Linked DNA regions of Ovis aries. The main gene of each other region encodes a partner of the protein of the gene in region 2 in a complex. Links are inferred from orthologs where the notes say so. Each region holds a gene or a part of one and is shown on either strand. Other genes may lie near its edges.

What was found.
Region 1: the proteins of MUSK (region 2) and DOK7 are in contact, whole or in part, in a crystal structure (PDB 3ML4), measured with the Mus musculus proteins. The link is inferred for Ovis aries from reciprocal best matches to the Homo sapiens genes MUSK and DOK7. Residues at the interface, in NP_035074.2 of Mus musculus: Leu547, His548, Pro549, Asn550, Pro551, Met552, Tyr553, Gln554, Arg555; in NP_001335203.1 of Mus musculus: Leu154, Ser155, Asp156, Leu157, Arg158, Arg159, Tyr160, Gly161, Gly172, Thr173, Arg174, Ser193, Asp197, Val200, Arg201.

The regions. Positions count from the first base shown.
Region 1 is NC_056059.1:116,134,787-116,139,026, reverse strand, and holds the start of DOK7 (protein Dok-7), read left to right. Parts: upstream 1-1,277; 5' UTR 1,278-1,285; coding exon 1,286-1,339; intron 1,340-1,408; coding exon 1,409-1,454; intron 1,455-4,240. UniProt on the Homo sapiens protein: Probable muscle-intrinsic activator of MUSK that plays an essential role in neuromuscular synaptogenesis. Acts in aneural activation of MUSK and subsequent acetylcholine receptor (AchR) clustering in myotubes. Induces autophosphorylation of MUSK.
Region 2 is NC_056055.1:12,707,864-12,712,110, forward strand, and holds the start of MUSK (muscle, skeletal receptor tyrosine-protein kinase), read right to left. Parts: upstream 2,974-4,247; 5' UTR 2,860-2,973; coding exon 2,781-2,859; intron 1-2,780.

The DNA.
Region 1 (4,240 bases), on a different chromosome or scaffold from region 2:
GGACGGACTTGGCCCTCTCTGTGCGCAGCATGGTGGTGGCTGAGCTGGGACCCCAGCCCAGCGGTCTTCCCGCCGGTGCGGCCCCCATGCTCTGCTCAGGGCTCAGCCAACTGGGGTCAGTCCTGGAGGTGCCTGCGGTTCTGAGTGTTAGATCCTCCTCTGTGAGAGGCAAGACCTGGACAGGATGACGACACGCATCCGCGTTCCTACCCGTGCGGACTTCAGGGTAACAGGACACTGCAGAGCCTTCCCCCTTCCTCCCAACCAGATCCTCAGCCGCCTCAGGGTGGGACCCCGGCTGGGGCACACTGCTTCTCTTTGCTTTTCAGAGTGCCGGCCTGTCTTTGCCACTGGCCCCGGGGCCTCGTCGATGCTCCTAAAGGCGTGAGTGTTGGAGGTCGTCTCAGAAACGGGGGCTGAAGTCTGAGAAGTGGACCCACCTGGGTTCCCAAAGAACCTGGGCAGCTGACCAGGGGATGTGGGCGGAAGGACGGAAAACCCGAGGCTCAGAGCTCCCCCGCTGCAGTGGGGGCTCTCTCGCGGGCTTTTACGGAGCAGCCTGGAGGGATGGACCTCCCCAACCCTAGCAGCCAGTGGCGGGGCGTGTAGGTCTGGGACCAGACTCAAGACTGGGGCACTGTGGCCCCACTAACCGCCGGGAGCAGTCTGCACCAAAGTCCTTGCTGCCAGGGGACAGGAATGAACCCCCCATCCTCCTGCCTACGGAGCAGGGGTGGTCTGAGGGGTTGGAAGGGAGCAGGGAGCAGGCAGGAGAGCTGGGTTGGAGAGTGAGGCGACGTCCTGGCCAGAGCTGACTGTGGTCCGTGGTGTCCGGTGACAGCTCAGTGGTGGTGGGAGGGACAGGTGCGCGAGGGTGAAGCCAGCTTAGAGGAAGGCACACTGGCAAACGGGGGCCCACCCGGGGCGGATGCCTCTTCCGGGGGTCGTTTCCTTTGCTTTCGGAAGGGGGGACCGCCTCCCCAGCCAACCCCACCGGGGTGAGCAGCGTCGGAGCCCCAGGATCCGAGCCTCGGCAGCGCGCAGTCCCAGAGGGCAGGGCGCTCAGGTGGCCCCAGGTGCCCGGGGGGCGCATCGCCCAGGCCGGGCGCGGGTGGGGCAGGACCGGCGGGCTGGCACCTCGGCCCCGCCCGCCGCGTGCGCCGCCCCGCCCGCCTCCCCGCCGGCCGGCGCACGGCGCTCGCGGAGCTATTTTGAAAGTGACCCTGGGCCGGGCGGCCCGCGGGGCGGCGGGCGGGGCGGCGGGGCGCGGGGACCATGATAGAAGATGACCGAGGCGGCGCTGGTGGAGGGCCAGGTCAAGCTGCGGGACGGCAAGAAGGTCGGGGCCGCGGCGGGCGCGGGGCGGGGCGCGCGCGGGCGGCGGCTCACGCTCCCTCTGTCCCCGCAGTGGAAGACTAGGTGGCTGGTGCTGCGCAAGCCTTCGCCGGTGGCAGGTGAGCGGGCGCGGGGCGCCGGCGCGGGGTCGGGGGGGGCCCGCGCGCGCGCGCGATCGGCCGCCGGCGGCCTCCTGCGTGCGCCCGGTAGGCCCGGAGCGCCGGCCAGCTCGCCCGAAATAGCCGGCGGCGGGCGCCCCGGGGCGAGGGCTGTAACCGGAGAGCGCCCCGGCCTCGGCCTGCGGGGACCCTCCCGGCGCCCCGACTCGGCCCGGAGCCCCTACGTCGTCTCAGACCCCAGATCCCTCGGCCGACCCCGCCTTGGCAGGAGGGCTGACCAGACCTCAGAGGGACCTGGTGGGGTTGAGGGGGTTAGGAGACCGGAGGGCTGAAAGGGCCTGAGCCTGTTCTGGCCCCCTCCCCCATGGCGACGCAGGGAGCATCCCAGAAAGTCCCCGCCCAGTGGGGACTGAGCTGTGTCACTGACCCCAAATCCAGATGGGGTGTCCGGCCGGATTGACCCCAGGCGCCACCCCCTCCCCTTGCCCAGGTGGAGCTGAGGCCTGACTGCCCTGGAACAGAGAGAGGGGAAAGAGACCTCCTCTGGGGATGTGTCCTGGGAACCCCCCCAGTCCCAGCTCCCTGGGAGGAGGCTGGACAGGCACGTGGAGCTGGGCATCTCCAGCCTTGGTCCTCAGCGAGCGGCGGCGACCCAGAGGCTCTGGGCCGGTTGGCTGCAGCTGTTCCCGGAGACAGGTGCCCTGGAGCTGGCCCAGGCCCCCAGGGGTCTGTGTGCACTGCTGGGGGCGTGTGTGCACGCTGCCTCACACGTGCGAGGCTGTCGGTCTTCCGGCACGCCTGGGGGTGTCTGGCAGTTCCCAAGGAGCTCCCCTCCTCATCCGTTGGCCGAGCCGGCTCTGGGAGCAGCACGGTTGCGGTTGCGGGGCAATGGCCTGTGTTTGGCCTTGGACACACTCTCCTCCTACCTGGAACTCAGCGTCCCCGCCAAGGGGCCTGAGCCCTGCACCCGCTTCACTGAGCTCACCCGTCTCGCAGGCCCAGCCCCGTGCCTGGTGCTGGGGGATCCTAGTCCCAGGGAGCTCAGGGAGGCCTGGCGGGGCTAGGGACTGGGAGGCAGTGGGATCCCTGCACTGGCCAGGCTGTGGATGGTCAAGGTGGGCACAGGCGGTGTTGACGGAGTGGGCAGGGGCTGGCTGGGGCCCGGGGCGGGGGCTGCTTGCAGGGAGGCTGATGAGCTAGGGCCTGTGCGGGCCTCTGGGGAAGGTGACCCACCGGAGCGCAGCCCCAGGCGGGCCTCGTCCCCCTTGCTGGGGCGGGTGGTGATGTGCAGCCCCTGGTGGTGGGTGTCGTGTCTGTATCCTAGAGAGCTCGGTGAGGTCTGTGCCCTGGCCGGGCCCGGCAGACACACCTGTACGCCGGGGCCCTCTGGCACCGGCTCCTCACCGCCACAGATTTTGAGTCTATAAATGGACTTGTGGCTGTTGAGCCTTTCTTGGGTCTTTCCACACGCAGCCCTGCGGGAGGGGAGCTTGCCACGGGCCTAAGCGGAGGGAAGAGCCGCCTCTCCAGGGCGCCAGGGCGGCGGGGCTGGAGGGGATGTGCCCAGAGAAGAGGGTTAGGCGCTCCAGGCAGGACCTGGCCTGGGGACTGGGCGGGAGGGGACTGGGCTGGAGGAGGGTCCATGTGCCCCTCTGGGTTGCTGTCCGTCGTGAGCCCTGCGCCCCACGTCCTGGTCCCCAGAGTCTCGGGACCCCCACTGTGGTCCCCCATCCAGTCCAAGGATCTGTCCCCACTCTCCTGTCTCTCCTCCCGGCCCTTAGCCGATGAGCCGGCCCCTCTCCGGCTCGCTGGGGGCCTGGCTGTGAGGGGTGCAGCTGCCTGGTCCCCCTTATCCTGAAGACCGGCTCCCTCGGTGGACCTGGGTGGGGGGTAGGCCCATGCATGTTGGGGTCTCACTGCGGAGACTCCCTAGATCCCAGCTGCAGCAGAGGGGAGTCTGGGAACGAGAGGAGGGGCCGCCCTGCCTGCTGTTCGTGAAGACCCCAGGGCTCTTGCTTTTAGAAATCATTTCCCTCCCAGGTGGGCCCAAGGGAAGCAGTAGAGGGTGTTGGAGACTGGGCAGGTGGGGGACACAGAGTGCCCCTCTCCACTTGGTCCCTTCTCTGGTGTTTGCGCTTTGTTTTAATCAAGACCACTTATGCTCGTAATAAAGTTTAGGTAATCAGAGGGAGGGGAACTACTATGGGCAGAGGGGACGGTCTTTACTGAAGCTTCAGTGAGAACTGCCCCCAGGGGTCCCCTTCTCTGTCCTGGCCCGAGGATTCCTGTCTGGGTCCTTTCCCCGGGCCAGGCCCCCGTGAGAGGAGGGTGGTGTGGCCCACCCCGGCTGGCCCTGGGCAGCCTCTCTCTGCACCTCCCTGGGTTGAGGCTCAGGATGCTGGGAGATGCTCTCCCGTGGTTGGGCTCTGGAGGGTGGCCCACCCATGGGCGAGGCGTGCAAAGGGCTTCGAGCAGCCAAGGCAGCTCCCCGGGCACTGGCTCCGAGGGCCCTGCTGCAGGGACTCCCGTGTGCACTGCCGGGCCCGCGTTATTCTGCCCAGAAAAGCCGGCAGGAGGGACCCTGAGTCCTGGAGCGGGCAGGGCCTTATAGACAGCGGGGCTGAGAGCTGGTGACCCAAGGGCTCTGGCCCTAGCTGAGTGGGTGTGGTCTCCTGACTCCTCCCCCGCCCCCCACTGTGTGCTCCGCCCTTCGGCCAGCAGGGTGTCCACGCCCCGCTCCTGTCCTGGGGAGGGCCGCTATCTACGCTCCCTCCTGGTGCTGAGTT
Region 2 (4,247 bases):
TGGGATAATTTCAAGAGTGGAGTTTGGACAGGAGTTCTTTGTGCATAAAACAGATTCAAAGTTGTTTCACGAACTCCTATAGAAAATCCCACTCTACACTTAGTACTTCCTGATAAAGTGTTAAATATTTTTGAAAAATGTGGTTAAGGCAACTGTTCAATGAAATGTTGGCTATTTTCATACATGACTGTTTATAAAATCCTCCTCCTTGTGGTTTGATTTAAAGTATCACCAGAAAAAATGATTCAGAAAGACAGTGAACTTTCCCTTTGTCTTTGAACATTAGGAATCTAAATTAAACTAAAACTATAATAATAATAAGCTATTCTACAAAGTTGGTTATTAATTTTCTTGAAGAAATCATATGCTGATGATTGGAAAAGAGTCCACAGAATACTCTTGCACTATTTTAACTGTGTCAGTTTACTTTATGATATATTATAGTGCAGATGTCTTGATTCATTCACAATAAAGGACTTAGGAAAAGGGGGTACCACCTAAAAAACCTCTTCGCATTATTGCCTTCTGCCAAGAATAGAGAAAACAATAGATATCTACACAAATTTGTGTAGCATAATTTCATTACTGTTAATAGTACTAAAATAATCACATATTAATGTGTTCTTTGTACCAACATATTCCATGCGCTTCAACATGTAAAATATTAAGGATTGCATTTTCATGATAGTGTGTATTCTCAGAACTGGTAAGTGTAGTTAATAAATGTTTGCTCTTCCAGGCCTGGTGTTTTTGCTAAGGCTGATGTTAAACCCATATTAATTTAGTTTTTTGAATAATACTCAAATACTCTCTTTGAGTAGGATAGGCAAACATACTGCTTTAATTTTTTGAGTTTACAATCTAATTAAAGCAGTAAATAAGCTATAAACAAATAAACAAAGTTAGGGTAACAGTCTGGCTATTTTATTTAGAGCTCGGGATTTTGGCTTTGTTACGTTTATGCCACTATATTTTGTGACTTTTCAAAATAGAAACAGTGTGCTTTACCTATAAAGTTTGAAAACTACAAATCATCTCTAGATAGAAATTAGGAGGTTGGGTTTGGTTTTTCTCATGCATGGGATTCTAATTTGAATTAGAAAATCAATTGTTGTGTTCCTTGTAAGACTGGATTTCAGTACATTTTAGCATCTAACCATGTCATTTATATGTAACTTTATGGTTTAGAATAGCACAAATAAATTTACAACAATCCATAAGTCCAAACATCCAGGTGCTGCCCTTCCGGACATCCATTGTATGATCAGGAAGCATTAAAATAATCTGAAGCCAGTGTTAAGTCTTTCTGGCTATTATTAGCTATTTGAAAAGATATAGATTCTTTTTTATCTGGAGGTACCTTAAAGTATTAGTTGACAAAAGTTTAAATGCATTGAAAGACACCCTTTTGTGCAGATAAAATAGAAAAAGAAAGCAATGAAACAACATAAATCTATGAAATCAGACTGTTGGTGAAGAAAGCTCTATCTTCTTAGTATGTGAGTTTTGACCTTGTGGTTCCAAAAATTCTAGTGAACCACAAAATCTACGCTATGTTTTCTAACTAACATACAGTATGACTACCTTCGCTTATCTATACAATACAAACCCATTCAGTTCTTTGGTGAAGTAATATGAAGGGAAAATAATTCATTTGAATGTGTCATAAATTCACAGAACTCTCTTTACTCTACTGTAATGTGTTTAATTCCCTAGTGGCTCAATGGTAAAGAATCTCCCTACCAATGCAAGAGACGAGGGTTCCGTCCTTGGGTTGGGAAGATGCCCTGGAGAAGGAAACAGCAACCCACTCCAGTATTCTTGCCTGGAGAAGCCCACGGACAGAGGAGCCTGACTGGCTACAGTTCATGGGTTCGCAAAAGAGTTGGACATGACTGGGCTGCTAAACAACAGTCCATTTAATCAGAAAACTTTGTAATGTTCCTCCATTTGCTTTCTCATGTCTTTGTAAAAAGACTTCAGTGACGCCCTCAGTCACTTTGCAGATCACCTATTTTCCTGTCTTTCTTCCTGATTTGAAATACACTAGTCTCAGTTTCATAATACGCTGGCCAGAAACTGTGGACATTCTTGCTACTGCAACAGGTGTTTGTCAGTTTCTTAAGTTGCTTTCCTTTCCCCTGAGGTGGTGTTATTTCCGGTACATTCCAAAGCCTCTGAAAAAAAAACTTTTCACGGTCTCTTGCCAAACCAAATCATGACTCCAGCCTCCTATGGAGAACCCGTTGTTCTTCAGACTTTCATAGGCAACTTGTGTGCGTCTTTCTCTAATTTTTATTTGGGAGGAACTCAAATATTGATTAAGAGTTTTGCAAAGCTGAAACTGAAAATGGAAGCGATTTCTGTTCAGAAGCAAACACTCTGGATGTCTGGGAGTGGGACTGATACATTCCTGGCAAACCTGATGTAAAAAGGTTTTCATCATCCATTTAGACCACCCTGAAGTTTGACATACGCATAAACAAACTGACCTCAATAACTTGCAGTTTACCTGTTAATGTTTCCCTTACAAGTGAGGACTCTGTATGCACTGAATGGCTAAACTTTTTATTGTCGAGCTTAAGCAGGGGATGGATAGCAGTAGAATGGAGACCATCCATCAATTGCTTATTTATATAGCTTTCTCCCTCTCCATATACTGCACCCCCACTTCACCAAGTAAAACCCAAGCCTGCCCTCATGAATCAGTCACGATAGGAACACACGCATGCACCTTAGAACGGCCACAGGCAACAGTAGACAAGAGTGCTGAAACCAACCTTTTGGAAGTTTCTCAGTCCCGCTGAAGGCAACCAAAGTAAGAATATGTACCAGTGGAATGTTGACGAACTCTCTCATGATTAATCCAGGCTCAGGCAGCAGAAAGTTCTTTCTGGACAACGCAAGGAAAATGCCTCCACCGTTTACATTTTAAAGCATAGTTTGTTCCAAAAGGGTCGTCTGCTAATGACTGTTTGTGTCAGCAGCTCCACTGGCTCTAAGTATAATCAGGAATTCTCAGACTTAGCTGTAATGATAGACACGGCCAGCTGGTGAGTATCCCCTTAGGCCAGTAATGCAAGTGTAGGGCTGGAGGAACAAGGGAAAGAAAATCCCTCTAGAATCCCTTTTAAGACAGTAGCAGAAGGACAATACCAGATGCCTTTTGTAACCATCATTGTATTCCCTGAGGTATAGTTTCCCCGATCTTCTGAGTCAGCTCATCATCTCTCCTGCACTTATCTCAGAACTCTGGATGCATCTGAGCATGATTCCTCCCCAACTCTCACTCCCCAACCTGCATCCATCCCATAATTAATTCCTACAGATTGTACCAACCTGATATGCCTTGATTTCCTCCCCTCCTTTGATTCTCACTGTTCTCAGCCTATCCCAGCCTTCCTTTCAGACGTTCATCTTCTTGGAATGATGGTGGTCACCTCCTATCCGTCCTCTCTGCCTTGTGTCTCACTGTCCTCTCGGGCTACCCTGGTGACTCAGAGGGTAAAGAGTCCGCCTGCAATGCAGGAGACCCGGGTTTGATCTCTGGGTCGGGAAGATCCTCTGGAGAAGGGCATGGCTACCCACTCCAGTACTCTTGGCTGGAGAATTCCATAGACAGAGGAGCCTCATGGGCTATAGTCCATGGGGTCACAAAGAGTCGGACACAACTGAGTGACTAACACTTTAACTAATCTCTTTTTAGAACACCTGTCCTACTCAAAAGTCTTCAGTGGCTCTTCATCACATAAAAAAAATTCAAATCTCTCTAATATAACAAAAGAAGGCCTGATGGACCCTGCCTATCTCTTTAGCCTCTGTTACAATCCCTATCTCTGTTTTGATATGTAGCAACCTACTGATGGTTCACTGAATACAGCTTTCAAGCCTCCATGAATTGTTCCTACTGTTTCGTCCTCTTGGAGTGCTTTCTCCTCCTCTCTACCTGGTTCCTACCTATCTTAACTTGATCACCATCTCCTGGGAGCTATTCCAGACTAAAACTCCCACATCTTCCCAGAGCTGCCTTAGGTTTGCCTCCTCCCGGCTTCTCTGTTCTATTGTGCATTTCTCTCTCATTGCACTTACCGCGTGGTTTTAAGAGTTTTTCTGCTTGTGTTGGTGTCTCTCTTATTCTTTGGTCTCATGAGTCCACTGAGTCAGCAGTCATGAGCTGTCAGTTGTAGAAGATCCTTCCAAAACATTCTCCTAGGCAAATGGCCTTTTCCCACTGAACAGTATGTCTT